2 linked regions of the Drosophila melanogaster genome follow. The protein of the gene in region 1 purifies or fractionates together with the protein of each later gene. This does not show direct contact. Each region holds a gene or a part of one and is shown on either strand. Other genes may lie near its edges.

Evidence for each region.
Region 2: the proteins of galla-2 (region 1) and Mms19 purify together in Drosophila melanogaster (affinity purification with western blotting; one study listed by BioGRID). This does not show direct contact.

The regions. Positions count from the first base shown.
Region 1 is NT_037436.4:10,880,619-10,894,227, forward strand, and holds galla-2 (galla-2), read left to right. Parts: upstream 1-2,271; 5' UTR 2,272-2,344; coding exon 2,345-2,465; intron 2,466-2,520; coding exon 2,521-2,870; 3' UTR 2,871-2,955; downstream 2,956-13,609. Other genes in the region: CG6409 (uncharacterized protein), read right to left, coding at 174-1,244, 1,389-1,400; OXA1L mitochondrial inner membrane protein, read right to left, coding at 3,857-4,041, 4,116-5,172, 5,284-5,367; Cpr67Fa1 (cuticular protein 67Fa1), read left to right, coding at 9,431-9,442, 9,600-9,992; Cpr67Fa2 (cuticular protein 67Fa2), read left to right, coding at 11,150-11,161, 11,400-11,792; Cpr67Fb (cuticular protein 67Fb), read left to right, coding at 13,573-13,584. UniProt on the Drosophila melanogaster protein: Component of the crb-galla-Xpd (CGX) complex which is essential for proper mitotic chromosome segregation in early embryos. The CGX complex is also required for cell proliferation in developing wing disks.
Region 2 is NT_033777.3:5,227,470-5,244,292, forward strand, and holds Mms19 (Mms19), read left to right. Parts: upstream 1-5,073; 5' UTR 5,074-5,172; coding exon 5,173-5,257; intron 5,258-5,321; coding exon 5,322-5,705; intron 5,706-5,915; coding exon 5,916-6,265; intron 6,266-6,323; coding exon 6,324-7,769; intron 7,770-7,836; coding exon 7,837-8,259; intron 8,260-8,373; coding exon 8,374-8,565; 3' UTR 8,566-8,819; downstream 8,820-16,823. Other genes in the region: Kat60 (katanin 60), read right to left, coding at 523-721, 808-1,367, 2,238-2,359, 2,553-3,156, 3,524-3,844, 4,588-4,599; rtp (retinophilin), read right to left, coding at 8,930-9,197, 9,404-9,704, 9,763-9,790; CtsF (cathepsin F), read right to left, coding at 10,422-10,687, 10,744-10,925, 10,985-11,728, 12,023-12,150, 16,369-16,785; CG33293 (uncharacterized protein), read right to left, coding at 12,835-13,095. UniProt on the Drosophila melanogaster protein: Key component of the cytosolic iron-sulfur protein assembly (CIA) complex, a multiprotein complex that mediates the incorporation of iron-sulfur cluster into apoproteins specifically involved in DNA metabolism and genomic integrity.

The sequences.
Region 1 (13,609 bases):
TTTGCCTATTATATTAACTGCCTTTTTACAGACAGCCATCCACATAAATATTTATTAAATAATTAACGCCCAGTCTTTTTATATAAGCATGTAAATATTTGTGTTTATTTTAGTTCGTTTCGCTGACTACAAATCTCGTGATGGTCCCATTAGCGACTCTTAACATAGGAAGCCTAGGCCTTAGCTTTCTCCTTGCTTTCCTCGGAACTGGAAGTGGACTTATCCGCGTGCTTGTTCTTCTCGAAGAGCTCGGCCACGGGAATGGGATGGGGGATGTGGAGATTGTGGATGGACGGAGTGGTGCTTTCCAGCTCCGATTTGGTGGTGGATGGGAGATCGGTGGTGGTGGTGGCTTTGGTTTGCGTGGGCACGGGAATATCGCGCTGGTGACGCTGTTCCGGCGCCTTTCCACCGGCCAGAGATTCGATGGCCTTGTGGAGCTCCTGGGATCGCTGGGGATTGTGCTGGAGCGACTCACGGGCCTTCACGCTGTCGGGTTTCTCCACAGTCTCGCGCTTTTCCTGCTTCTTGGGCAGCTCGGCGGTGTGGGCCACAGCGGGCAGGGCATGGGGCAGCGAAAGATCCTCCACCTGAGGACGATCACCTGCCTCATCCTTGTGGCCCTCCTCGTGGTGAGCTTCCCTCTTTTCCTTCTTGTCCTCATGTGTTTCGGGAGCCTGCTTCACTTCCTCCTTATGTGGAGCTGCATCATCACCATGGTGGCCTTCCTCGTGGTGAGCCTCTCGCTTTTCCCTTTTGGCATCATGAGCTTCGGGGGCCTGCTTCACTTCCTCCTTATGAGGAGCCTCATGGTCTTGGTGACCCTCCTCATGGTGAGCCTCTCTCTTTTCCTTCTTGGCGTCATGGTCCTCGGGAGCTTGCTTCACTTCCTCCTTCTGGGGCACTGCATCGTCACCATGGTGACCCTCCTCGTGGTGAGCTTCCCTCTTGCGCTTGTGGTCCTGTGGCCCAGCCGGAGAAGGCTTCTGGTCATGAATAGGAACGGCCGGCTGCGAGTGATGCAGCTGTTCGTGGGCCTCCACGCTGTCGGGCTTCTTGGGTTCATTACGCCTCTGGCGATTCAGGACGGGAGCATCCTTCAGCAAGACTACCTTGGCGGTGGGCTTGGGATCAACGAGCACATCGGGGCTGATGGGACTGGGCCTAGAGAGCTCCTCAGAGGTAGACTCCTTGACATCCAGAGGTGCTGCGTGGCAGAAAGCCACCAGGGCTAAGAGAATAATCTAAGAAAATGTGCAACACAAATAGATTAAAACGTATTTTATATTCAAAAGATAAAATTTATAGCCCTCATTAATTAACCGATTACAATAGCTTGTATGGAAAACTCAGGGATAATCTTCAAGAGAACTGAGATCTTGACTTACAACCGACTTCATGCTGACCGCTTGGAGATGTGACCCAAACTGCTGATCTCAGCCAAGTGGCGACCCATTTTATAAACCCAAATGGGCGACCGCAGGCTTCTCCACTCCGTTGGCAGCGGCTGTTAACCAGTTTGTAATTCGGTGCTAATTGCGAATAGATGCACGCCAAGTGCGCGGAAACCCGTTCACAATGTAAATCTGCTTTTCTACGTTGATATTGATAAGTCTGGCTAATTATAACCCGAGGAAATCGGCGTCAAGTGCGCCGGCTTCTCGGCAACGCTGCTTCTCGTAAAAGCGGCAAAATGGAATAAAAATATGGAAAATAAAAGCGGGTTTGGCCGGCGAAATGGGCTCAAGGCTTAGTCAGCAGCGCAGCCAAGTACGGACTCATCCACATCCACATCTGCTGGCCATTTAGCACTGGCTCGCAAAAAAGTTAAGCTCGGCTAACTTAAGTTAAGTATTCCCGCAGCTAATTTGAAGAGCACATAAATATGGATCGCGAGGCGTCTGTAATTACGCCCTTTACGTAAGATGACAGGTAAACATATCAATTGTGCGATGTTTTCCTGGAAGTGTACGTTGTGATTTGATTGATCTAGTAATTGCCCTGATTTTCTTGAATTTGTATTCAAATAATTCCAACCTTAAAAAAGGCTACTGTCATTAATTAAAAAGATTTCATTAACTAACTTTAATAGCGTAAGATGCGCATAAATGTATAACTAATTAAATGCTCTGTTAGATGAAACTATGAAAATGAGATCAATTTCGAATTCAAATAATGTTGGCGCCCAAAAAGTGTGTGCACACCATAAACTAGACGTGGTGTTATTTTGTATCTTATAGTCTAAAAACTGCGGACACACTGAAAGACATAGCTTATTGTTTCTCTTTGCTCTTCGCCAAAAAAACGTGTAAATAAAGGGTTTTCAAGAAAAGAACAATACAAAATGCCCACGGAAATCGAGAACATCAACCCCAATGTCTACGACAGAATCAAGGAAAGGGTATTAACCGCCAACGAAGAAGACGAAAACGTGCCCGATCCATTTGACAAACGAGAGATTTTCGGTGAGTTCAAAGAAGATAGCTAAGGAATATATCTTATGACTCGCGTATTTCCCAGATCTCATCAGAAATATTAATGACCCGGAACATCCTTTGACCCTGGAGGAGCTGCATGTGGTGCAGGAAGATCTAATCCGGATAAACGATAGCCAGAATTCCGTGCACATCAGCTTCACCCCGACGATTCCCCATTGCTCGATGGCCACTTTGATTGGCCTCTCCATCCGGGTGAAGTTGCTCCGCTCGCTGCCACCTCGCTTTAAGGTCACCGTGGAAATAACGCCCGGCACCCACGCCTCCGAGCTGGCGGTGAACAAGCAGCTGGCAGACAAGGAACGAGTGGCCGCCGCCCTGGAGAACAATCACCTCGCCGAGGTGATCAACCAGTGCATCGCCGCCAAGGGTTAACTACATGATTTTATCCTCGTTTTAGATATATATAAATATATATATAATGATGTTGGTTTAGTAATAATAATTTTGTTTTAAAAGCAGTTTGTGCCTGTTTTCCTTTCCCGAAATTTGGATCGATTTTAATTTTTCAGACATTGTAATGTTTATTATCTTAATTGTTAGTTATTAGTAGGTAGCAATAACATGGACATTCGCCATACATCATTTAATTATTGGGTACTCTTTCTCAGCTGGTTAAGTAGTAATAATAACCTTTTACTCAAATCGAATTGTCTGTCAGAGAAACTAAATTATTTCCTATTTCAAGTTTGCATTCCACGTATGGTTAGGAATCATCATTGTTTTTATGTCTATGACTAGACTTGTTTGGATAGATAAATAATCCAAAATGGTTTTTAAACTATCCAACCAATCTTTATGGTTTGCCATTAAAAACATGTAAATGCTTTGCTTCTACTTCTCTAGTTATTATAATTGCTATTAAATCTTTTATTTATTACCTGAGCCTATGCTAACTAAAAGCTAATAATCGAGGTCAGCAACTTGAAAATTCACACCGGCTTCGATTGATTGATGGTTTTTGATTGCACGGCATTTAAACTGAGACTAATAGTATTTGCTGAGCATTTCCATATTTTTTATAGTAATGCGTTAGCTATCCGCAATTAATTGTATATTTGATTGTCTTTCGGGACCGTATCTTATCTGAACTGAAAACACTCACCAATTTCATTTATAGCTGATCATGTTTTTATATACATTCGTATCTTCCATGACGAGTTTATTTTTACAGCGATTACATCTACCAAAACTTTGTCTCCAACTTCTCAAATCAGGTTTCATCAGCAAGAAGTTTGCCTCTGTACATTTACAAATTATATTTTAGCAGCAAAACGTTCGGATGATGAAGGACTATAGACTAAGGGGTTAAATTAACGTAACAAGACACAGCGCTCAGCGGCGATTACAGGATGGAGGAACTATCCCTGCTTGTTCGGCGGCTCCTTTAGCCGCATGTGCGGCTCCGCGGAAATGGGTTTTGCCACTTTCGTGGGATCGAACTTGTACGTCTTGACCAGCGGACCCTTGCCGGCCTTGGCGAATCGGATCTCGTCCAGGCGCTGTCGCTCCTCGATTTCTTTCGAGATCTTCATGTTGTCCCAGGCTGGAAAAGTCAAAACAGAAAGGTTGTAAATCGAAAGAGGTAAAAGATGAAGCGGGACAGTCCTTGTTACTTACACTCCTTCATTCCGCCGACGAATCCCTTCTTAGGTGGCAGTGCACTGGGCGCATGGGTCAGCATCTTTTCGATCTTGAAGTACTCCCTCACGGAGGGAATCCTTAGCACCGCAACCTGCCCCAACGATATAAAGTTACTGCACGCCCAATAGGTCAAAATGGCAGCGGGGAAGTTCATCGTAAACGGGAAGATAACAATGGGCAGGGCTCTGAGCACATATTTCATGGTGTTCATGTTGGCAGCCGATAAGCGAGCCGAATCCGTTCCGATCTCAATGGTCAGGTACAACGTGGCACTGGTGATTAAGGGCAGTAGATAGAAGGGATCCGCCATTGTGAGATCCGTGAACCAGAAGAGTCCGCCATCCCGCATTGATTCGACCGGCGCGTTAGCCATCTGTCGCAGTCCCATGAAGAAGCTAATGAAGAGCGGTGCCTGGGCCAAGGGAACTACCATGTTCTTGAGCGGATTGACACCCTTCTCCCGCATGAACAGCATCATTTCCTGGGCATAACGAGCGGACTCAATGGCGTTTCCCGACTGCCTGGCCTCGGTCATTTTCAGCTGCAGCATCTGCATCTGCGGCATATTGTTGTTCATCTTGGCAGAGTTCCTTTGGGCCAAGATGACCAATGGAAAGATTATGGTTCGCACTGCGAGTGTTCCAATGGCGATGGTTCCCCACCAGGGAATATCCCACGTGCAGTGCAAGAATTCCAAACAGTTCTGTACCATGCCCACCGGAGACCAGCCGCCCAAGCCAATGGAGGCGAAGGAGGGTTCGCCAGCGGCATTCATCACATCCATTACATTCAGACCATCGGCGGGTGGAGGCACTGGAGCGGCGGGTATGTCCGGCAGATCCACTAGTTCCGTTTTCGGCACAGCCTGCATGAACTCCTCGCCTTTGGTGGCTGAAACTCCCGCTGCAGTTGCTCCACCGCTGGCGAAACGAAGCTGGCCGAGATTGGACCATTTTTCGGGGGCCGCTAAGGGCAGACTGCTGCCCCTGGTAATCCTTTGGAGGTAGAGATCTCTCCTGCTGCCCGTGGATGCCTGGCAAACAGAGTTTTCATTGAAATTTGCGTACATTTTCGAACACAAACATTGGCCAACTTGCAGGTTATGTCACAGGTCGCCGGCTCTTTTTCAATGATCTTCACTCACCTGTGGGGTGAAACGGCCGGCTGCGGAAGTCATGGCCATTGCCGCGTTTGTTGTCCTCCAAAGCTGCATCCTGTGGGCCAACATTTTCCGCGCAGCGCTCGTAATTTGGTCAAAATAAAATTAAATGATAAAATTCGCCTCGTTTTGAGCTAGGCGAGTGCGAGCGAGATGGACACAGTTACGCGTGCGGGTGAACGGCAATAAAGAAGCAGAGTCACAGCTGTTCCGGAAAAGCGCCCTCTGGCGCTACTTAGCAAGACTATAGATTACCGCTAAAAGTTTAAATGAAAAGAAATAAATTCAAAAAACTTAAATAATAAAAAACTTTAATTAATAAATTAATTAATTTGGAAATTTATACATTGTAGTTTAGTTAAAAAAAAAACAAAACGAAATACAAAAACAAAAATGTAATATGACAAGTTTCTTTGGGACAAATTTTGATGTTTTTAATACTTATATTTATCAAACATTTCGCTTACATTACTTTTTACGTTTCTGGGTATGTACATCAACCTCTTGAGAAATTAAGCTTGGTCAAAATTTCGTGTTGACTTAAAATTTTATTTGAAATAAAATCACTACTGACAAAAATCCAGTAGCCTGCCTCTTAACTTTCTCAAATTCTTTAGAAGTTCTCTTTTATTTCGATACGAATCTATATCATTATTATTCTTATTATTACTATTATATTATATTCAATGTAAATATTAACATTGGTTAAAACTCCGTAACGAAAATATGACATTTTAAGGGGCATTTAAACGTAAATATAAAACATTTTTTGATTGCTAGTTGAGTCTGGAAAATGTTCTTAATTCAATTTCAAACAAGAAATTGGTTCTCAAGCAAACAACATTGTGGAAGGTGCTAAAAGTCATCTTCAAATTAGGAGACCTATAAATTAAGAGTCAGTTAATTTTTGGAAAACTACATTAATAATCTCGCAACTCGCTGCTAAAAGCTATTTAAATATTACCCGCTCTATGACATCCCGGAAGGCCAACAGGTTATGGGAAAATGCTAAAAGTCAAAATGACAAATTTGGCAATATATGTATCAGTTTCGGTTTCAGTTTCAGTTTTAGTCCAATTAATATGCACACGAGTTCAGCCCAATTAATTTGCATTCAATTTAATACACTAATAATGAAGTCTTAATGTTTGGACACATGACAACCTTTTAAAGCAGCTTGAATAAAATTATTTGCCTCGAAATAAGAGGGTTGCGTATGCATTGACCTAGTCATTAAAAGTATTTTTATATAACATAGAAAAAATAGTTGCTATTTATTTAGAAAATATAAAATGAAGTTCCTACCTGAAATGTAAGTGAATGAAATAAATCCAAAATAAAATCTAAGAAAATCAAATAAAATACTCTTCAAATGAAAGGTAAACTAAAAAGTTTTGTGTGCATATTTTTAAATCAATTTAATTGGAACGATTGCTAATATATGATATTTTATAATATTTCAATTTCATTTAAAATAGTGTATATTTCGTCCGTGCTTAAAAATCGGATACATTCAGTTCTCTTTAGAAATACGATTCTCTTTATGTGCAGATTGGCATGGGAAAAATAAATTATAAATTCTTTTCGGCATGGTTGACAAAACTTGCACCAATATTGACGCCTGATCTGCATAAAACTGAATCGAAACGGAGAGATTATATACGAAATTATACATATCTATAGCCCGAAATCGGTGTGAATTATTGAAGCCGCCGAAGCCATTGACGCGCATCTCATAGCGATGCCAATTTGTATATTAATAAAAAAAAGAAACGAGAAAACCGAATAAGTCTACTAAAAATATTATAATATTTGGAACAAGTTTATGCCTAAAATGTTGCTGACCGAACGAATGATGCAGTTTTTGAATATCGATCAGACTACAAAAGATAATCGTTAATAAGTAGTCACTCAAATATATCAAATGTCATCATTTTGGCCATTTCGAATCGACCTTACTCTTTTTTTGTCGGTACTATCTTTTGGGATTTATTTCTATACATATATGTCTTCTTGTCCAAACTTGGCTATATCGCCCTTAAACGACTTACAACATTCGGCTAAATTGAGCGACTAAAATCTATTTTAGTATGATTAATTTAAATTTATGCGAAAACTTCGACAAGGTTGATTCAGTGACACTAAAGACTAAGCTTTAAGAGATCTAATCACTTTATAGCCACACTTTTAAAGGCAGCCTGCTCATAACACGGCATTAATAAGTGGCATTAAATTAATAATCATAATCATATCTCGGCACTATGCATAATTATGGGAATAAAGTTCAGAGGGGATCCCCCGACTGACTTCGTGACGACAGCAAATCCAAGGGTGCTAAGTACGTAATCGATGTTCGATCTGTTCTCAGAATTACCACAAGACTGTGCCTAAATTCAATAAATCTTTTGAATGTCTTTGGCACGACGTTACCATGTTACCGAAACACACAAATCCAACTTTGTATTAAACGCAACACAAGCACTTCCTATCGATCCGAGCAGACGGACTATTTCACTCTTGGCGTGTCATAAAGTTTAGTTTTACGAGCGACGTGTTCTCATCGGATGGATACATATCTGCCCAAGGCCATGCCCCCCCAGGTTGAATAATTTCATTGGCACATCGAAAACCTATCAGCACAGTGTGCAGAAGGCAGACATTAAAGGATCAAACGATTTTAAGGCTTTAAATATGATATAAGTATTTATTAAAGATTTTTTAGCATCCAGGTCCAAAATAAGGAAAAATATGTCTTACATTTTTAGTGCACTTGAGTGAGGATATTGAACTCGTTTTATTAAATGCAAATATTTCATTTATTCTCAAAATATTTAAAACATTATTTAAGAGGTCATTAAAAGAAACAATTTGTCACAACTTTAAGACGTGGAAAGTCATATAATCATATATACTTTTACTAATCGGTACCTAAAGAAATTAACATAAACTCGATTGTTTTCAGAAAGATATTCGATACTATTAATTTTAAAAGCTTCCTGCTGACTGAAGAACTGGTTGCGAACCACTGTGCTAGAATATGATACAATATTTTGAAAAATCGCATTAAAGGTGCCGCTGGTGACACGATACGTTTGGTAGTATTTGGATTTTGGATAAGGCGGATTAGGCGCGCCTGGCAACGGGTTAATCCAGTTTGATATCTCACTTGTGTACCAATTAGGCATTAACTCACTTTAATGGCCCAATTTGTTAAACGCACACATTTCAGCACCTCAGACGGACTTCATCACACGCGTAGAGCCAAGAAAAGGTTTGACTTATCGAACTGGAAAAGTTAACCATTGAGCAGACCGGAGTAAAACCATAAATTATGCTAAAATTGTATCGAGACTGGTCGGTGTTTTAAATGCATTTAATTAATACAATTTTTTGGGTGCGCCGCCTGAAACTGAATTTGGAACCAGAAACTGGAGTCTGCGGATCTCGAACCTCCAAGCCGACCTATGTGGCTGCGACATTGACATTGCCGCATGGGGTTCGTATTAACTTTTGCTCTTTGCAATGCCCACACGCACAGCAGCGGTCAAGCTGGTAGGACCTTATCTAGAAATAAGGTGCCTAAGAAGGAAAATAATGTGTATCAAGTAATACATTTTAAAGAAAATTTAAGCACCTAAATAAACTTAGTTAACATACAAACATAACATAAAATTAATTATTAAATTAATTATTAAATTAAGCTTTAAAGTATTTGAAAAACTCTTTAATTATGTGAAATGAATGTTTGAAAAGGCCATACATAGTTGTATATATTATATATATATATATACATATACAATTTATATATTATTTATATATTATATTATATATCTTCACCTTAGTTGTTTGAATGTGCATCACATCTTGGTTTGATTGAAAACGAAAAGAGTGGATTTTTGAACTTGTGCGTAGCTCTTTGGCTCTCAAGTCACTCTTAGTGCTCCAGTTTGGCCAATTTCGGCTATTCGATTTTATTGTTATTCAGATGAGTTTCCTGCAGCAGAGCGTAAAAGTTGTTTCGGTGGATCTGGTTTGATGTCGACAATTGGTATAAAAACCTAAACAGTCTGCAGTAAAGTCACCATTCAGAGTCGTCTCTCAGTTTAGACAAACGCACTCCAAGCCAGCAAAGATGTTCCGCTACGTAAGTCAAAAGGATATTTACTTCGACCTAAAACGAGTTGTGTTTAGAATTCTTTAAGATATTTTAAACATCTTAAAATATTTTAAACTCCTATGGACTCAATCCAAAAACGTCTATGATCAATTTGTAACTGACTGGGATCCACCTGCTTTTATAGCTGCTCGTCGCCTCCGCTATCCTGGCCTGCGCCTACGGTGCCGCCACCTACAACCAGGAAGCTGGTGCCTACATCACCAAGATCGGTTCCGACATCCAGCCCGAGGGCAACTACAACTACCAATACGAGACCAGCAACGGCATCGCCGCCCAGGAGTCCGGAATTGGAGGAAACCACGCCAACGGAGGCTTCTCGTGGTACTCGCCCGAGGGTGAGCTCGTCCAGATCTCGTACGTGGCCGACGAGAACGGTTACCAGCCCCAGGGAGCTCTCCTGCCCACTCCTCCTCCAATCCCAGCTGCCATCCTTAGGAGCTTGGAGTACATCCGCACCCATCCCCAATACGTCGAGCAGGAGTACCGCAGGCCCGCCCTCAGGAAGGTCTTTGGTTAAGCGGGAGCGGAAGTCTTATGTGATAACATTTTAAAAGAGCTTTATTACGATTTAAAAAATGTTTTAAAATAAAGAAGAAAAAAATTACATAAATCTATGTTTGTTTAAACTATTTCAAACATTTTGGATGAACTAGAATAATGGGTGCTTAATATATGAAATATGGTTTAAGATCCCACGAGGAAACGTAGCAAACATATTTCAATTGCACCTTTATTATTACCTATATTAATATTTCAATTTTCTCAAATTTTCTTGTTAAAACTATTTTTTTAAGGATATGCTTACTTTACCTTCCTATTTGTTTTATAGTGCGAATATACAGGCAATTCTATGTCAGATTTTAAGAACCAAATTAAATACCACAAACTTTCCATCCGTTGTCGAGCAGAAATTAACTATCAAGTCCTTGAAATTATAGGGGTACTTGCCCTATAAAACGATCTGTAGTACTTATTCCGACCAATACCATCTACTTGACACCACTTATTTAAATAAAATATGTTCCCTTATTGCGACACAGGTTGAACTGTTTATTTTTATGGCCTTTAAAATGAACAAATATATTTTAGATAACTAATCAAAAACAATTGCTTACTTAAAAAATAGAGTTTTACCAGTAGTATCATGGGTTTAGTTTATTAAACTGCCCTTTTAATCTGTTTAATTAATCTGCTCATTTCAAAATGATAACGAGTTGATTATCTCATCTTTAATATTTTGTACCATAATTTGGTGAAATAAATCGTATAATACTTTATAAGGATCGATTGTTGAATTTAATCAATTAAAAAATGTTAATTCTTAATTAAAACTTATTAGATACTATTAAAATATATGTGAATATGACTTTTTTAATATATGCATAATTTGATGTTAAATATAACTATCTTGCCAGATGAATACTTATGCAAAAGTTAAGAGCCAAATTTAAGTGCGTTTTTTGGCTCTTTACCTTTTTAAGCCGCTCCAGTTTGATCAATCTCAGTTTGGCCATTGTCATTCATATGAGTTTCCTGCCGTCTGCCGTAAAAGTTGTTTGGGTGGATCGGGTTTCGTATCGAGAATTCGTATAAAACATTGCTGCCCCGCCACAGAGTCATCATTCAGAGTCGTCTCTTAGTCGCAGACACACGAACTCCTCCAAATCAGCCAATATGTTCCGCTACGTAAGTATATCGCAAGGATAACTATAGCACAGCAGTGGAAAACGACAATTAGTGACACTAAAAATATCAAAATATTAACCAATATAATAAATAGTTTATACTAACGATAAGGATTAACACAAAAAATAAGTAAAATAGAAAACAGTTACCGGACTTAGATACCATGGATAGAATTGGCCTTTCAAGACATTGGAAATTTCATCAAAAACCAAATTGCAATAATAACATTGTCTTCTAGATGCTCGTCGCCTCCGCCGTCCTGGCCTGCGCCTACGGTGCCGCCACCTACAACCAGGAAGCTGGTGCCTACATCACCAAGATCGGCTCCGACATCCAGCCCGAGGGCAACTACAACTACCAGTACGAGACCAGCAACGGCATCGCCGCCCAGGAGTCCGGAATTGGTGGAAACCACGCCAACGGAGGCTTCTCGTGGTACTCGCCAGAGGGTGAGCTCGTCCAGATCTCGTACGTGGCCGACGAGAACGGCTACCAGCCACAGGGAGCTCTCCTGCCCACTCCTCCCCCAATCCCAGCTGCCATCCTTAGGAGCTTGGAGTACATCCGTACCCATCCCCAGTATGTCGAGCAGGAGTACCGCAGGCCCGCCCTCAAGAAGGTCTTTGGTTAATCGAAATCGGGACTAGAATGTGCCAACATACATATGAAAAGCTTTATTACGAATCGTAAAAATGTAAATGTAGAAATGAAATAAACGTCGAAGATGTAAAGAAAACAATCTTAAAAGTCAAATTTGCGTTGCTTAGGTTTACATGGACCAAGATCAGAATTCAAAAAATAACCGTGGGGAATATCAAAAAAATAAATCCCAACTCCTTAGCATCATAAATCCAAGGATATGATTGAAGGACATTTAACGATCATAATCAAGAAAAACCATCATCTATAACAACAATTTAACAATTTCTGTTTCATACCCTTTGTTTAAAACGGGTATTCAAATCGATAAAAATAACTTTTTACTAATGCAATTGTAAGTCAGTGTGAAAACAGCAGAGAAAACGCTATAGTCGAGCAAACAATTTTTAAAAAATAGTGGGCGTAACATTTTTTTGAAGTTTGTGAGCAAAGTCTGGAAACTGCATATTTAATTCGAATTTTGTAGGTTTCATATTTCCGGAGACCTCAAAGTTCAGACAGACGTACGGACACTTGGCAGATCGATCGCAGATCCTTCATCCTGTTACAAACTTTTCATCGAATCTAAAGTACCCACTTACTCTACGATTAACGAGTATAAAACTTGGTATTTGTTGGAGTGATTTATAAGCTGTTATATTATATACATATGAATTGTTTTGGCTTACTTACCACACACACTACATTAACACCATAGTCTGTGCTAATAAAAACTTATATTCAATAGTATACTTTTTGGATAACACCAAAATGCCAAAGGTTTCAAAACTTATTTAAATGCACGCTAAACTATAACTATCTCAAATCGGCAGCAGTCGTTAGACATTTACGATGACACTTGGTGTTTTGTTAGAGTTTCAAGTTCGTCTCAGATCCAAAAGCAAACTGCTCTGCCGGCATTTGCCCGCATTCATATTTCATTTGCATATCATTAACAACAAAAGCCGCTAATCGAGTGACAGAGCGTAGAGTATTTTGGCGCCTCCATATCGGATACTCTAACTATTCAGTAGGCGGTACGTTGACTTGGTAACTGGGTTTGGTGATCACTGAAAGCTCAATACCCATTCACTTATAATCAAAATATTTTTATACATTTTTAGTTTAATTAAATCTTTTAAATTTAAATAAAATTTATTTCTAGTACAGTCAGCTTTTCCTTTTAAAATTAAATGTTACATTAAATGTATAATACATATATATTTTAAATGTTTCTTTTAGAAAATGTATCACTCCCCAAATCATATACATTTGTATTATTATACATTAATTTTACTCAAGAGAAAGAGTGTGTCATATTCGCTGAAATATTTCTGGTAACTCCAAATTCGGCTTACGATTTATTTATTTATTATGAATATAAGTCAAGATTAGATAAGAAAAGAGCCATTGTGTGGCAGCGTCTGTAAATCGAGATCGTTGATCTGTGATTTCTAAGGCGCAGATAAGGAGAGGCCTTTACTCATAAGTTGGCCTGGGTTATAGAGCACCTGGGTCGTAAAACCGTAGTTAAAACAAACAACAGATGACAAAGCAGCTATTAGGCGAACTACTAAGCTCGTAAAAACGCGGTCAAATTCATATTTTCAAATGCGCGAATTAAATTAATAATTCGGAATGGCGAAGAGTCACCTGTTCGGCGATGGTGTAGGTGTAGGTCAGTGATCGTTGCGAGTATAAAACGATCTGTCGCCGAACTTGGAGATCAGTAATCAGCAATCAGTAGCAACTGCAGCAAATCCAACACCAAAATGATCAAGACCGTAAGTCCGATGCGATAATAGCTAT
Region 2 (16,823 bases), on another chromosome or scaffold:
AAAATTAACATTAATATTAGACAGTGGACATTTCTTGTTAAAATAAAAACTTTCGATAAAAAATGATACGGATTGGAGTGTGCATATTGTGGGAGTATGAGGCCAAGGCTAGGCGGCGATTAAAGCGATTCCTTATTGCATATAGTGTGATTGTGGGTTAACGATTTGTTGGAAGGTTTGTGCTCATGGAGTGTGTGGGTGGTTTTCGCTATGTATACATAAACGTATTGCCTATCTCTCGACTTCATTGCAATTCAATTTCAATTTCAGTTTTCCATTTGTGTTTCCTCTTTGAGAGCGGTTAGTCTTTTCTAATTCCAACGGCCTCCGGTTCAATGTATATATGTAAATATATAGATTGTATCGTATTTGCAAAATGTTATATATAAAATATGTTCAACTCTTCCGTTCGGCTCGGATCGGTTCGGTTCTCACTTTAAAAGCTTAATGACTTAAGCGCGTGTTTAAGGCTATTCAAAAATATACTCCTACAATCGCTAGCCATTCGCGTCTGCAGCGCCATCATGACGATCCGAACTCCCTCATCCACTTCTCGTACTTGTCCAGGTCTGCCCGGGACACGCTCTTGTTGCAGCGACTCATGGCCTCGTTGAAATCCTTGTTGGAAACGGGCAAATCCACCTCTTCCGTAGCCAACTGCCGAATCTGCTCTGGGGTCAGTCCTGCGATCTTTCTCCGCATCGACATCATGCTGGCCTCCCTGGAAAAAGAAGAGCACGCATTTTATTCCATTGACATGATTTGGAACTGACTACGCCATTTTAAATTAGTGTATTCTGAACTCACCTGCACACGTTTGTGATGTCAGCTCCGGAATATCCCTTCAGCTCGTTGGCTACGTAGGTAAGATCGACGCTATCGTCCACCTTGACCTCGCGGAGATTGATCTTGAGCAGCGCCTCGCGACCTTCATCCGATGGCAGTGGGATGTAAATGCGTTTTTCCAAACGACGCCGAAGCGCTTCATCGATGTCCCAAGGAAAGTTGGTGGCGGCCAGCACCATGACCACCTTGGCCTGTTCCTCTCCGCCGCCCACGCCGTCCATTTGGACCAGCAGCTCAGACTTCACTCGTCGCGAGGCCTCGTGCTCTGATTCCGATCCTCGGCGCGAGCACAGGGAGTCGATCTCGTCGATGAAAATTGTGCTGGGCGCGTAGAACCTGGCCATCTCGAACAGGAGCCGCACCATCTTTTCCGACTCACCTCGGTACTTGGACGTCAGCGTGGCCGAGCTCACGTTGAAGAACGTAGTTCCGCATTCGGTTGCCACCGCCTTGGCGAGCATTGTCTTGCCCGTGCCTGGAGGTCCCACCATTAACACGCCCTTCCACGGTCGCCGGATACCCTGTTGTAGAAAGCAAGAAGTGATTATGTACTTTTGCTTTAAAATGTTTACAAACTTTCAGTATATATTAATTGTATACTTTCCGATTGTTTTGATCTGAACCACTGTTTTAGGCTGTGTCATTTGCCTAATTCTAATTAATTAAATAATCTACATTGGAGAAGTGAGTACCATTTCTTCCAATCAAACATAAATATCTAATTATCTACTATCCACGTTAAGTCTATCTTTCTTGCTATTGTTTATTCAGTAAGATGGTAAATCGAAAAATGGTGCTGTAGGCTTCTCTGATGCCCATTTCAAACATCTTTCGCCCACGCAAAATTTCATGGTATCCACATTTTAGATGGGGAAAATATTTGTTGGACGGAAATATTTGAAAACAACAAATATTCTTACATATATGGTACAACACGGTCAACATAGCAATCGAGCTCAGTCTCAGGTGTTTGGATCAGTGATTTTTAATGTGACTTAAAGGCGTTAGAAACACATGGTCAGCATTCCATATATATACATAATATATACATAATTATTTATTTTTTTTCGACAGGTTATTATGGATCGATATTCTTTTGAACGCACACATAGTTTGATAAGATAACATAGATAGAGGTACATCATAATCAGCATAATTTCAACAATGGAAACTTTTAAACCGCCCCAAGTAAAAGTAGAATGTGTTGACAAGTTCCACCACCTAGTTAAGAGGGATAAAGCTGCAAGGCGATGCATTTCGTGACAGTTCAGAATAGTTGATCAAATACACATTGCCCTGAGCACTATAATAAAGCGCGTTTGTTGACCCATCGCGAGATAAGCGTTTGGCAGAATGTGATTCACAGAAAACAAACAGCGGGGGTGACGCACCTTGAAGTAGTCCGGCATGAGCATTGGCAGCACGACGGCCTCCTCCAGCAACCGCTTGGCGTCGTGCAGGTCGGCAATGTCGCTCCAGCGCACTTTGGGATCCTTTTGAAGAATATCACGTTCTGAAAAGAGAGCGTTGGCATGTAATAAATGTAGCTATACTAGACCCAAATTTTCATAACTACTACCATTTTTGAAATAGCCACAAATCTTAAAGCAAGTAGAGTAATGCATTAGCTTTGCTTAATAAATAAGACTAGCACATCACCAAATTTTGAACGAGGCAAACCTTGCGGCAACGATTTAGGCACCTACCAAGAATGTCGACTAGCTCGGCTTCGATGTGGTTGTTGGGCTGAAACTTGCGCTCTTCCTCTTGGGCGGCCTGCGGATCGCCGTTTTCTCCATCGCCAGCCGCTCCGCCATTGTTGCCTGCAGCGGTGGAGTCGTCGTCCCTAGCCTCGTTGGTGTTCGATGTGGATAGCTTGCGACCGCCAGCCCTTCCATTGGTGGTGCGTGCTCCGCCGCTCGGTGCTGTGGCGGACGTTGAGTTGCGGGAATTGCGTGTCGAGGCCGGACCATTCCGGGCAGTGCTCTGCGGGATTGTGCTGCTGGGGCGGCTGTTTTGCGTTGCCGGAGTGGTGCGGCGGTTGTTCGGTGCGGCTCTTCGGCCAACGGCCTGAGTGGTGGGTGGTGGCTTCGGCGGACCCCACACATCTGGATCCTTGGGCGGAGGCGTCCAAATGTCGGGGTCCGGCTTGAACCAGGCAGATGGATCTTTACTGGTGGTGCTTTCTTCGCTGAGCTGGTGTCGCAGCTTGTGTGCAAATTTGGTTGACTGTAGGTCCAGCGAGATGTCTTGTAGGGTTCTCTGAATGGCCTTGATTTTGGCGTGCTCCTGGCTAATCTGCTGGTTGATCTGCAAATCGAAGATCAGTTAGTTAAATGATGTCAATGAAATCGTCCGGTATGGTAAATATTAAACTTTTTGAAAATACTTGGTTTATTATGATCTATTGGAGTTTTAGCCAGTTACTTTGTGCCAGTAGTGCTAGAAATTACTTTGTAATTCAAATTTTAGTCATTCGGTAGTGTTCTGATTAAATTAAATCTTTATATGCACGTTAACGATCTAGATAACTCGTTTACACAAAACCTCTTGGGCAATTTTGAATGGCGTTGACAAGATGTTATGACTAAGTCCTTTGTTTGTCATAACCGTCACCATTCGCATTCATTGGCATGGTAGTTGACAGTATCTGGAGGTGGTGATAGGAATGTCTTACCATGCTCCACTTGCCCTTGCGTAGCGGATCCGCGGTGGCCTTCAGCTGGCGGGCGAGCAGCCCCTGGAGGCCCTCATAGTAGATGCAGGCTGAGTCGTAGTTGCCCGTCAGAGCCATGTCCCGTGCTAATTTGGCATTCTCGCATATTTCTTCAAACGTAGTCTTGGCCATTACGGTCATTCCTACGCAAGTGGTTGTCTTTTGCTTGCCACCTCGCAGTAACTGGCGATCGGAACAGGTTGTCGTCATTGTAGCCAAAAACGAGAGACAGAGATTAGTTCCAATTAAAGCGCTCGAGTGCGTGAGTTTCTCCAAGTGTTGCTGGGTGGGAAGGGGAACAATAGAACGGAAGCGACTTCGTCATTCGCTGGCTCGCCTTGCAGGTAAAAATGGAAAGTGCGCCTCCCAGCCAGAAGCGAATAAAGTGGAAAACCCGGCGACAATTGCGAATAATAGAAGATGCCAGTGGCAACGACCCAAGTGAGCTGCTAATTATAAATTATCAGGCGCACAGCCGCCGACTTGTCACCAAATTTAAACGCAACGCGCTCCGATTTTCAATTCCGCCTCCAAGGCGGGACGTGGGCCAAATGCCGATTGGAAAATGTATTAGGTAGTTATGAGCCGAATAAGGCGTTCGACCTTGTTGGCTTTGAATGATTCTTTCAACTCGACTCAAATCGTCGTATGCAAAAAAAAAAAAAAAAACAAAAAACACAATAGTAAAAACAACAAAATTAACGCTCGCACACACACACGCACACTCAGCTCAGGTTTCAGCGGCACACAACACACACTTTCGCACACACGCACACGGGCGCACAATGGGTCGAATTAATGCGATCTAAATAGAATTTGAGTTAATTGCAAGCCTCTGGACACAGCAAACTGCACTTTGCATTCGACACTTCACCGTATTTCTTATTCTTATGCTTCTTATTTTATTTCCAGCTATGTGGGGGCGTCTGCAGCTGCAGCAACCACAAGAGCAACAACAACAGCAGCGCTGACGTCTCGCCGCCGCACACCTACAATTGCAGCTGAGCAGTTCGCGGGCGACTTACGGTTATGGACATTAGTGTACTAGCTTTGTTACGCGGCGTTCCGAGCGCAAAATGAATGCGTAAACTATTTAATTCAGAGTTTAAGGTGCTGCGGTAGCTAAAATAAACTGCTGCCTGCCTGTGTTTGTAATACTAGTGATGTGCGTGCTCTGGTGATGCGGGGCTTATCGATACATCGGCGCGGACACTTGACCACCCTGTTGCGTTCCCTGTGTGCAACAGTCGGCGACTATCGATTGTTTCCAGAGCTGCTAAAAATATATTTCTAAATTTACAACGAATTACAAGAAAATAAAAAGAAAATCTCCGTATCGTGTCTATCGATTATAAATCAATATACAATATGTAAGTATATTTTCCAGTTCTAGAATTTGTCTCCGAGCCACACATTACCATCCCTGAGCGCCACTGCAATAAAAGCTATATTAATCGCTAAAACATTTGCACTACTGTAACACCAGTCTGGCATCGCTGTGATATAGATAAGGCCAGTACGACAAGTCATCGGTTATCGGTTCTTAACATTTCGGCTTAACGTGCTTAAACTCATTTAAATTTAGACACCACTCAAGCGACGGTGCCGCAATGACAACGCCCACGCGCGCCACCCTGGAAAAGGCTCTGAAAAGCGACCAGAAGCTTGTGAATTCCGCCACACAGATAGCCAAGGGCAGGTTTACACCCGCATCCGTGTCGAATGTGCCCTTCTCATAGAGATTCTTTGTTTCCTCCAGATCTGACCGCCAAGGCATATGACATATCTGCTCTGGCCGAGGCACTGGGCTTCGCCCTGTCCTCTCCGGACATGGAGGAGCGTGTGGCCGGAACCAACTTGCTCTCCGCCGTGTTGATAGCACTGCCCCAGGATCTGCTGCAAGAGCGGCAGCTGGAGTTCCTCAGCACCTTTTACATGGACCGCCTGCGCGACCATCACAACGTAATGCCAGCCATTATCGATGGAATCGACGCCCTGGTTCACATGAAAGCTCTACCGCGCGCCCAGATTCCCCAGATTCTGCAGTCATTCTTCGAGCACACCACCTGCCAGTCGCAGACGCGGAGCGACCGCACCAAGCTGTTCCACATTTTCCAGTACTTGACGGAAAACTTCCAGGACGGTGAGCCCTGATTTCATTTTAGCATGAAAGATACATTGACATTGCTTTAATCCGATTTAAACAAGTCAGTGTGCAAAAAAGTTATAATTAGATGATTTTAACTAGTCGAACAGATATTTGCGACAATCTTAGTACCTTTTATTTCCGTTATTTTTAGAAAATATTACACAATATTACAACTCAAACAAATCAATTTTCTTCCCGATACAGAGCTGCAAGCGATGGCCGGTGACTTCGTCTACGGCCTGATCAATTCCATTGACGGCGAGCGTGACCCCCGCAACCTTGACATCATTTTCAGCTTCATGCCCGAGTTCTTGTCAACGTATCCGCTGCTGCATTTGGCCGAAGAGATGTTTGAGATCTTTGCGTGTTACTTTCCAATCGACTTTAATCCCAGCAAGCAGGATCCAGCGGCCATAACCCGTGATGAATTGTCCAAGAAGTTGACTAACTGCCTGGTAGCCAACAACGAATTCGCTGAGGGCACAGTGGTACTGGCCATAGAAAAGCTGGAGAGTGAGTTGCTGGTTGCCAAACTGGACTCCATAGAACTGCTGGCAAGAAAACGTAACATTTTGAAATGCCTCTTTTTATACATGCTATTTATTGTTACAGCACCAAGCTGCCGTGAAGTTCCCGCCTTCCGTTCTGGAGCCGCACTTCGATCAGATATGGCAGGCTCTGAAAACAGAGACTTTTCCAGGAAATGACAATGAGGAGATACTGAAAGCTTCCCTTAAGGCGTTGTCTGCGCTCCTGGAGAGAGCTGCTCACATACCGGATATAAGCCACAGCTACCAGAGCTCTATTCTGGGCGTAATTCTACCGCATCTCAGCGATGTCAATCAGCGGCTCTTCCATCCTGCCACCGGGATCGCCTTAGTTTGTGTATCGGGAGATGCGCCCTATGCAGCGGACAAAATCCTCAACAGCTTTTTGCTCAAGCTGCAGGCCGCAGATGCTAGTTCTGAGCAGCGGATCAAGATCTATTACATAGTTAGCCAAGTCTATAAGCTATCTGCGTTGCGTGGCTCTCTCCAGAAATTGGACACCACGATACGCGAGTCTGTGCAGGACGATGTAATCGCCTCCCTACGCCTAATTGAACAGGAAGAGTTCGATGCCAAGAAGGAGGACTTGGAGTTGCAGAAGGCGGCCCTTTCGGTGCTTAACGAAAGTGCTCCTCTTCTCAACGAGAAACAACGCGCTTTAATTTACAAAGCTCTGGTTCAGCTTGTCAGCCATCCGTCCATCGACATCGATTTCACCACACTGACGGTTAGCCTTGGAGCCCTGCAACCGGTGGAGGTGCAGTCAAATTTCATTGATGTTTGCGTGCGAAATTTCGAGATTTTCTCCACATTTGTCAAACGAAAGATATACACAAATTTATTGCCGCTCATGCCTCAAATAGCGTTCACTCAACGCATTCTAGATTTGGTTATGACACAGACGTTTAACGATACTACTGCAGAGCCCGTCCGTTTATTGGCTCTGGAAGCATTAAACAAACTGCTCCTGCTAGCGGATCAGCGCTTTATCGTGGACGTGCAGCAGGAGTCCAATCTTCTTCACAAGCTCATCGAACTGGGCCAGAAGACCGAGGGTCTGTCTATGCAGTCGCTAGAACAGATTGCGGGCGCTTTAAGTCGTATCACGCAACAGCTCCCGCTCTCCGAACAAAGCGCTATAGTAAGCGAGTATCTTCCTGGACTCAATCTGAGTCAATCGGCTGATTTGTACATTACCAAGGGCCTGCTGGGCTACCTTCATAAAGACATAACCCTGGATGACCACTTCGAGCGGCTTCTGACCGATTTGACGCAGCTTTCGCTTAATTCGGACAACGAACAGTTGCGTGTAATCGCTCACCACCTGCTCTGTAGCATGGTCAACAAGATGGAGTCGAACCCAGCTAATCTAAGGAAGGTCAAAAAAATCACGGAGCAACTGAAGGTGGCTATTAAAAAGGGCGATGTTCGGGCGGTGGAGATCCTTGCATGGGTGGGGAAGGGCCTAGTAGTCGCAGGATTCGATGAGGCTGCCGATGTTGTTGGTGATGTATGTACTAGTATAGCCATTTTAGTTCTCTAGTTCTTATTCGTGAAATAATATTGTCTCATTAAAGCTCTCGGATCTACTAAAACATCCCAGTTTGAGCACTGCCGCTGCCTTGGGATTCGACATCATTGCCGCCGAGTACCCAGAATTGGATTTGCCTGTCGTTAAATTCCTCTACAAGCAGAAGCTTTTCCACACTATCATGGGAAAAATGGGCAGCAAACTTGCCAACTACTGTGTGCACCACTTGAAGGCTTTTGTCTACGTACTGAAAGCCACGCCACAGGCGGTTATTAAGCTAAACATTGAGCAGCTCGGTCCGCTGCTTTTCAAGAGCTTGGAGGAGCACAACGAGGCGCAGTCGCTGTGCATTGCATTGGGCATCTGTGAAAAGTTTGTGGCGCAGCAGGACACGTATTTCCAAGGGCATTTGGCCCACCTCATACCCAGCTGTCTGGAGCTGTCGAAATACAAGGCTCAGCATACCATGGTAAGTTAAACATGCACATATTATTATAAAGATTTGATAGTTAATTGAGGAGGTTTCTTAACTTGTAAAGGAAAATGTCGAACACAAAACTTAAACTCATTTTCTTTCTTATAGCAAGTGCGAATTGCGGCGCTGCAGCTGCTCTACGATGTGACAAAGTATCCTACCTTCGTCCTGTTGCCCCACAAAGTCGATGTTACTCTGGCCCTGGCCGCCGCCTTGGATGATCCCAAGCGTCTGGTGCGGAACACAGCGGTGAAGGCCAGGAATGCGTGGTACCTGGTCGGTGCGCCTAGTCCGAATTAGCAGAGAAACAACTCCGTTCTTGTTAATATTATAATCCAATAAGCACACGCACAAATTCTTCATAATTTTCTTGTTGTTTTTATTAGGGTGCGTTGAAGAATTTTTGATAAAGAATTTGGAAAAAGCAAAATTATAAAGTAAACGCGAAATTGTATGCATTTTATATTACTTAGATACATTTACGAACGTTTATGCGCAAATGTATTAAAGTTTAAGATGTTAAGAAAGAAATGCTTATTTCTTTTCTTAAAGGCACCTTTTTCTGTTTTATGACTTGAGACTCTTACAGTCGGTTACTAAAATTTGTATTTTTAAACTGTACGTGTTTATCAATACCAACTGGTAACCAATCTGAAGTGTCTGTTCAGTATGGGTGTTCGCACTGGGAACGGGCCATAAGAGCGCACTTTTGTGCACGCTGCACCACCTCGGGACATCGACGTCGTCTCATAAAGCGGCAGTCTTGAAAGAATCCCTCGTTTCTGGGAAAGCCGTGCGTGAAGTCCTGGAACGTCAGCAATCCCAGGCCCCAGATCTTGCCGCCTCGAAACTCGCCCTCGTACTTCATTCCATCGGCTCTCCAGAAGATCCCATTACCATGAAACCAGCCCTGATGAAACTCGCCTTCGTATCTGTCTTAAAAATGTGCAAAATGAATCATCATATACAATTTTCTTCACTGGATGCAAACCCTAGGTAAATTATAGCTAAACCATTTCTGATCAAGAATATATATACTAGCATTTCCTCTTACTCCCCGAGTAGTGGCTACAAGAATAGTTTTCAAGTGCTACAATATTTCGTTTAGGTTTACATCACTAATATTATTGAAACTGACTTTGCTCCATCCGCGAACCAGAGGCAGCCCACTCCTTGACTAAGACCCTCCTGGAACTGCCCATCGTAGCGGGTGCCATCGGCGAACTGCAGATGCCCGATGCCGTGCTTTTGGCCACGCTGGTTCCACTCGCCGATGTAGCGACTGGCGTCCTCGTATCGCCATCCGCCCACTTTGACCGCCCCTGCGCTGTACTGGCTTTGACCCTGGCCCTGTTGGTGGTGTCCATGCTGACCCTGCTGGTGGGGGTGCTGTTGGTGCTGGTTCTCGATTCGGGCCGTGGTCACGCCCACGCTGCTCACTGGGTAATGATTTTTACGCAATTTTGTATCTGCATCCTTTTGTCTGTGTTCACTTACTGTCATCATCGTAGTCGTCCATGGCCATTGCTCCGCTACCGCCCGCGATGCGCTTCAAGCTGCTACTGAGCTGGCTGGTTCTGCACCAGAAACACTCATTTTCTATGGCTTCCCACGGTGCGACGGCCCTGGTCTAAATCTAATTAACATATTGCACTTCTACACACTGACAAAGTGTTTGAAAATCAATCATCAAAATCACTGGGTCAAATGTTCCAGTAATTGAAGCAGTTATAAATATTTCTTAACAGCCAATAATACTCTGGCACCCATATTTAATCAAACCATTTTAATCGAATAATTTGAATACATCTCACATAAATTCAACATTTTTCTTGATCCAACCAACCATCAATCTTGACCAACTGTTGCTGCGGCCAGAGCTGTCATGGATTCAATAATAAACCCAACCAGGTTTTAATTCTTGTACAATTTATTGTTATTTTCAATTAAAGCGGAATATGTGGATGCAGACTTTTTCGTGAGATTACAGATGTCTGAAATGATTATACTATATAGGCGAAGCTTTGAAACTCAACGACTCCTTATCGTGACGGTTGAAGAACATGGAAACAGAATTAATTGTACACAAAGTTACTGGCTAAATTATTAACCTAGATATAGTCGTATGCTTGTATATAATTGGACTCAAAGCAAGTCTAGGCCAGCACAGCCGAAGTGGCCATTTCGCTGACGCCGCAAGTGTTGTCACCACGATAAACGCGATAATAGCCCTGCTCTCCCCAGCGCGGACCCCACGAGTTCTTCACAATCCAGTAGGGCAAGGTCTTGTGGAAATTGGGATAGTCGGAGACGCCATACCCCACAACTAGAACACCGTGGTCGAGGTTTTTCTTGGAGCACAGGGCCTTCCACGGATGGGAAACTCCGCCGCGATAGAACTGCATAGCATTCGCATTGATGCCTAGAGAAATGATCTGGTTAAGTGGGCTTTGGGGTTAATTTTCTGCATCGACTTACCGATCGAAATGGGACCATTGGCGAGAAGCCACTCCTGCATGGCGGTCTCATTTCCCTTCGGCAGATCCACGAAGCCGGCAACCTGAACGTGGGACAAAGTCCTGTTGAAGTGGCACTGATTCTTTTTGGCCTTGTATGGGTACTCAGCCTCGTACTCTAGGCCGCCAATATCCTTAATGGCCCTGCGGAGGAATTATTACATAAGTATCTACATCGTAATGTTCATTCCCTCGTAACTTACTTGTAAGCATTGTCCATGAGGCCGCCGTTGCAGGCACTATCCGTGGTATCACAGTCCAGCAGCTCCTGTTCGGAGAACTCTTTCAATTCGCCCGTTTTCACTGCGTACAGGCCTTCGATGTTGCCGGTCACACTGAAGGCCCAGCATGAACCGCAGGATCCCTGATTCTTCACCTGGGTGACAGCATCCTTCTGCCTCCAGTCAAACTCCTTCGGCAGTTCACCATGGTAAGCCGGTACGACAGCCGCCGATCCGCCAGTGGCCTTTGCCTCATCACGCTGCCAGAGTCCCGTGCGTTCCTTGTATTCCGAGCTGGTCATATCAGCAAACTCCGTGATGCCGTACTTGGCGCTGCCCATCTCGTTGGCGTTTAGCTCCTCGATAGTCTTCAGGTTCTGACGGAAAATGCGCAGGCGCATCTGGCGCTCGGCGGTGCTTACGTAGCGACGGCCAAATCGCACCTGGAACTTGTAGAAGAGGTGGTCCACCTTGTCAAAGCGATGGCTGTGCTTCTTGTGCGTCTTCTTCTCGGCCCACTCCACGGATCGCGTGTGTCGGGCCTGGACCACCGGCTGGTTGCGGCACTTAAAGGTGATTTCGTGCTCATCCTTCCTCACCCAGACCTTTGTCCAGATATCCACGATACAGCGGTGCTGCTCCTCCGACCCGTCGATTAGATCCGCATCGATGCGGGTCAAGATGCCTGAATCCACTTGCCGCGAGGCTGAGTATACTTTCACAATTCTAGAGCACAGCAAACGAGCGAGTCAATTATAATGAATCAGACAAATCTACTTAATGCTTATTAATATAATAAAATGAAGAAAATCCTACAAGTTCTTCAAAAGTGTGTACGTTACATTTTTGAATAGTTTCTGAACCTTACTTCTCTACATTCTGCATGTTTAGTCTTAACTTTCTAGCTTTTATGGTTATGACCAGATCAACTCAGATTGTAACTCTGTTACGCTAAATCTAGCATACCCTTTGCTCTTACATTATTGGTTTAGTCACTTGAATTAATGGATACAAGCTTACTTGTAATGGGGACCCTCTCCCGCGGTCAGTTTGTCCAGAGATTTTTGCAGCTGCGCCTTCGCCGCCTCTTCATCGTAAGGCTTATGCCTACCCAAGATATCGTTCGCGCTGCGTCTGCTGCGATGGACCTGCAAAAAATGTATACATGCATAAAAATCTGGGACAATGTTGATAACATAGTAATCTAGCTTAATTACATAAACAGTAACTGCATGGCCATGGTCCAATCATCCGTCTGTTCATATAAACAAGAAATGCTAGAAAATGTAGTTTACGCATTCTACTGACGCAGATGCAGCACATGACACACAGCAATTGCAATAAATGAACTTTTCCTCTCGAATTTTCTTTATTTTTTGCACATTTCCATCAAGATTCCACTTCCACTTCATGAGTAATGGGTATTTAAAAGCCTTTCAAACGGATGCCATTTAATTCCAGGCTAGTTCCAACTTTTTATGGAATCTCGGAAATATTCCAATCTCGATTTATAAGCTCAGTAAACCATAAAAAGTGTTCACCATTGATTGTTTAATTTTAATGTCGCTAAAACGTCGAGATTAACGCGAACTACTCGTGAAAATATAAAATTTTACAATAACATGCTTTTTGGGGCTATATCTTCGATTAAAATATTTGTTTTCGTTCTCCGTCCACGTAGAGCGCATACAATGAAGATTCCGTCTGACCAAAATTTGGAGAAGCGGTTTCACGAATCGAACTACTTGAATGCCAACTGCTTCGAATGCGAAATGAACTAACTGCGCTGTGGCCCAGAACCATATCGGTGAACAGGAGATGGGGATCGAGAATCAAAGACCGCATTCAAAGGGCACAATGTAGTCGTCTAGCAGCCGCACGCGGCGGAGTCTTCCTTGCGAGTCCACGCCCACGTCACCGCCACTGGATGCAGTCTGCTGTCCGACTTTGAGCCCCTCCTCCTCCTCATTCCTCAGCTCAACCTGGTGTCGCTGCACCACCAACATGCCGGCTGCTATTGCCGCCTCCTGGCGCAGCCATCCGGACATGATCCAGACACGGCGAATGCAGGTTGTCAGTGCGAATCGTTCCATAATGGAAGGAATCTCTGCACAAACCGTGTTTATCGATCAATAAACTTTAAAAAAAAATGTTAAGTATTTACGCACCTTACAAAATATTAAAAAATATATGTCTAGTGGCTTCGGACTGAGGTAACCGAGTAATGTAAACTGAATTTGGACTGGGACGCAAACGACATTGACAACTTAGCTCGACTCCAGGCCCTACTTTGACCTTTATTTTCGAAATGTTTTGCAGGTAGTCCTTACCTCCTTTTATATACCTTCATTATTTCTTTAGGCTTGAATGGGAAACAGACAAGTGAAGATTCCATTAATCCTATACAATATATCCCACCCATACATTCCACGCATCACGCCAAAAGACAAGCCAAATCAGCCCTTTGTTTGCTGTCTGTGAGTTCGCTAATCTTGTGCTAATTACGGAACAGGGAAACACTTATCCATTACAAACAGACACACAGCTGTCACCACATCAGACCTCCGACACCACGAGCAGTGGTGGGTAGGAGTGGAGGGAACATAAGTTATATGCGAATGTAGGTAAAACAAGGATATGTCTGAATTTACATTACCGAATCTGACAAAACGACACATCGTTCTAGTACACGTGGCTGGAAGAGTTTGCGGCAAGGAACATGGCGGTCCAAAGGCATCTCCCATCCCCCAGAATGTGGGATACGCCAACAATAACATCGACAGACACAAGCGGCCCATAAACCATTCAATGCTGAACACAAAACCAATTAAACCAAACATTTCGGCTGGATATTCGTTTGCCGCCTGGCATCGATGATGGTACGAGTAATATGTTGATGCCGTTGATGGGAGTTGGTTTCTGAGGATCCGGAGCCCCAGTCTCTGCCAAATCCACACCCACAGCCAGGAGCCAAATGTCTGCTCCTGCTGTCACACCCGGGCAACTGGCATGGCGAATGCGAATAAGGATTGCAGGTGGAACCACACTCGAAACATTTTATGGCCTACAAGGGCTAGGAAAACATGTAAGTTGAGGAGGAAAAGAACGAATTATATCTTCTATACTACTGTTTGCCCTTGGAGGGAGTTATCCATATATACTTATTTATTCAAAAATTCCAATGTGCGGCTTTAGAAACTTTCAAGCCGAAATGCAGTGCAAATACTTTTGAAGTGCAGGAGGTCACCTATGTAGCGACAACAATACCGAATGGAATGTAATGGCTACGACGTGTGTATAATTAAAAATACAGGAACACAAAAAGAGGCCGTCGCTGGAACTGGGAGTCCGTGGTCATCCCTATAGATGTGTGCATACTGTGTCCGAACATGAATTCATTAAGCTGCCTGCTAAGCACTCCCTTTTCCAGCCTCATCTCAGTTCAACTGGCCTGGCCTACTATCCAACCCATTTTAGCCCATCCCATCGCATCCTATCCCATCTCATTCCATCGAGACGGGGGGAACTGTTAATTCAAATGTGTATTTCAATAAGAATTATATCGTAAATGATGTTTCCACGACCCTGGGGCAACAGAGGAGAACCCTGGGCATGGAGTATGTGGCTCCTGTGGGTGGGAGCAGTGTGCAATGGTCCGTGAAATCCATTCGGATGTATAGACAGTGAAGTGCTGAACGCGGCGCTATACTTTCTGACAGTTGCCGTAAATCAGCAATGCAACTGAACTGAATGGTTCTCGTTTTCAAAGCACTTAATTAATTTATTCCGCGATGACTTTTCCAGGAGCTCATTAGGCACTTATATGGGTTGGAAATAATGTTGGCAAAGGAATTTCCGATTGTTGAACATGTCCAACGAAGATTGAAGCGAATTATCGCGTTCAAATGTAATTTATTTCCCTCTTCGGCAGCTGGATTTAAACAAAGTAATTAAATAATGGATTTATTAATTGGAAGTCAAAAGTTACACTCCCCGCAGTGGCTATTTAATTCCTAAATCCGGTAAAGACCAAATGCCCCTTCAGTTTAAATTCAATATGGTACAATGTAGATACTCCTGCTCACAAAATTTCCAATCAATGGATTGCGATCAAACGGCTCACACTTGGAAAACCCACGCTCTAGAGCAGCGTCGCCACCATTAAAATTGCAGATTGTGTCATTGATTACTTAACCCCTTATGCTCTCGACGCGAAGTCGGGTGGAAAGTGGCCACCGACCGCCGGAGACAAATCGCCCAGACCCACTGTGCGTGGCACCACAGAGCCAACTGCTGTAAAAAGTAGAGCACAAGGATAATGAGAACACTTGCCTCGCACCACTCTGTGTATTTCAGCTTCTGTCGACACCGCGGGCACTACACGGCGAGCGGGAGGGGAATCCTGAGCCTCCACCCACTTAACCTCTCATACATACCGGCACTTGGGGCCAACCCAACCCCAGTTCACAGCCAAGACATATAGACAGGTGCAGATGGCCCCTGCACAGGTGCCACGAATACGGCTAAGATACGGCGGGTTAAACAGATTGCGGCCGTAATTTGAGAGCGGAAACTCATTTGATTATTAAGGTGAAATAAGTGTTCTGCCATGCCGACGAACCCAACCATCATCATCACATCGCCATCGTCATCAGGTGAAAAGGCAGGCTTAAATAAATTCAATTAAATAACATTTTCCTTTTTTATTGTTCGCATTAGGGTGAGTATGTATAATGAGTGGGCTGAGTATTTATATGAGAAAGACAGAGACTCTGAACGATGGGGCTGGCTGTGTGTGTGAGTGTGTGTGTGTGTGTCTGGGATGATAATGAGAATATTCATGATAATGCTGTCGGTATGGTAGTAGCCTCCACCTCGGGATCCTTCTGCTCCCGGCCGGCCTCCTCCTGTTGCTGCCCCTTCTCCTGACTCTTCTCGAAGTCATACGCACCCACCGATAGGAAATCGTCGAGCCAACGCTTCTCATTTTCGTTCAGCTCCGTGGCGATTGTGGTGGTGGCTACGACCTCCTCTTCGTGCTTGTCCTCCACCTCTTCTGCCTTTTCTTCCACATTATCAATGCTAATTGCCGTGGCCGTCTCATTAGTGGCGTCAGGTGGACTAAGCTTGGTGACTGCTATAGATGCGGTTAATACAGCAGGAGCTGCCGAATCCAGAGGGGCAGCCTCGGCAGGAGAAGGAGCAGCAGGAGAAGGTGCACGAACAGGAGCCGCTGAAGCGGTTTTGGTCAGACTGACCTTCCGCCTCATAGGTCCCAGGTTAGTGAGTATCTGTGACTCCAGATTGGCCATCTCTGCGTCGCTCAGTTCTTTCCTCTGACCGCCATTAAAGATGCTATTACTCACATATTTCTCGTTAAGCAGTCGCGCCTTCTCTGCCGGATCTCCGGCCACCGAGTTCACCGCTGGGTCGGTGCAATTGGAGGTAACCAGTTCGCGGTGCTTGTCGCCCCACTGGGTGCGCAGCCAAGGCTTTTCCAGGATGACCAGGCGGCAGACTATGTCCGCTTCCGCCGGCTGTATTGCCTTTGTGTCTAGCGCGTTTAGCAGGATCTCATAGCGCACTCCGGCGGTGATTTCCCGAAAGGCGTCGATGATATTCACAAAGTTCATCGACAGTGGCAGGAAGGTCATCGCAATGTTCTGGACACCAATCAGGTTGGGTGACAAATACTCCCGCTCGCCGGGATTCAGAACGTGGACCAGCGTGATCGGGGGCTCACTCACCGCCTGGTCCGTTGTTGTTTCTGAAGATTCCGTGCTCTATTTGTACGGGTTTTGAGGATTTGAACGGATTGGGG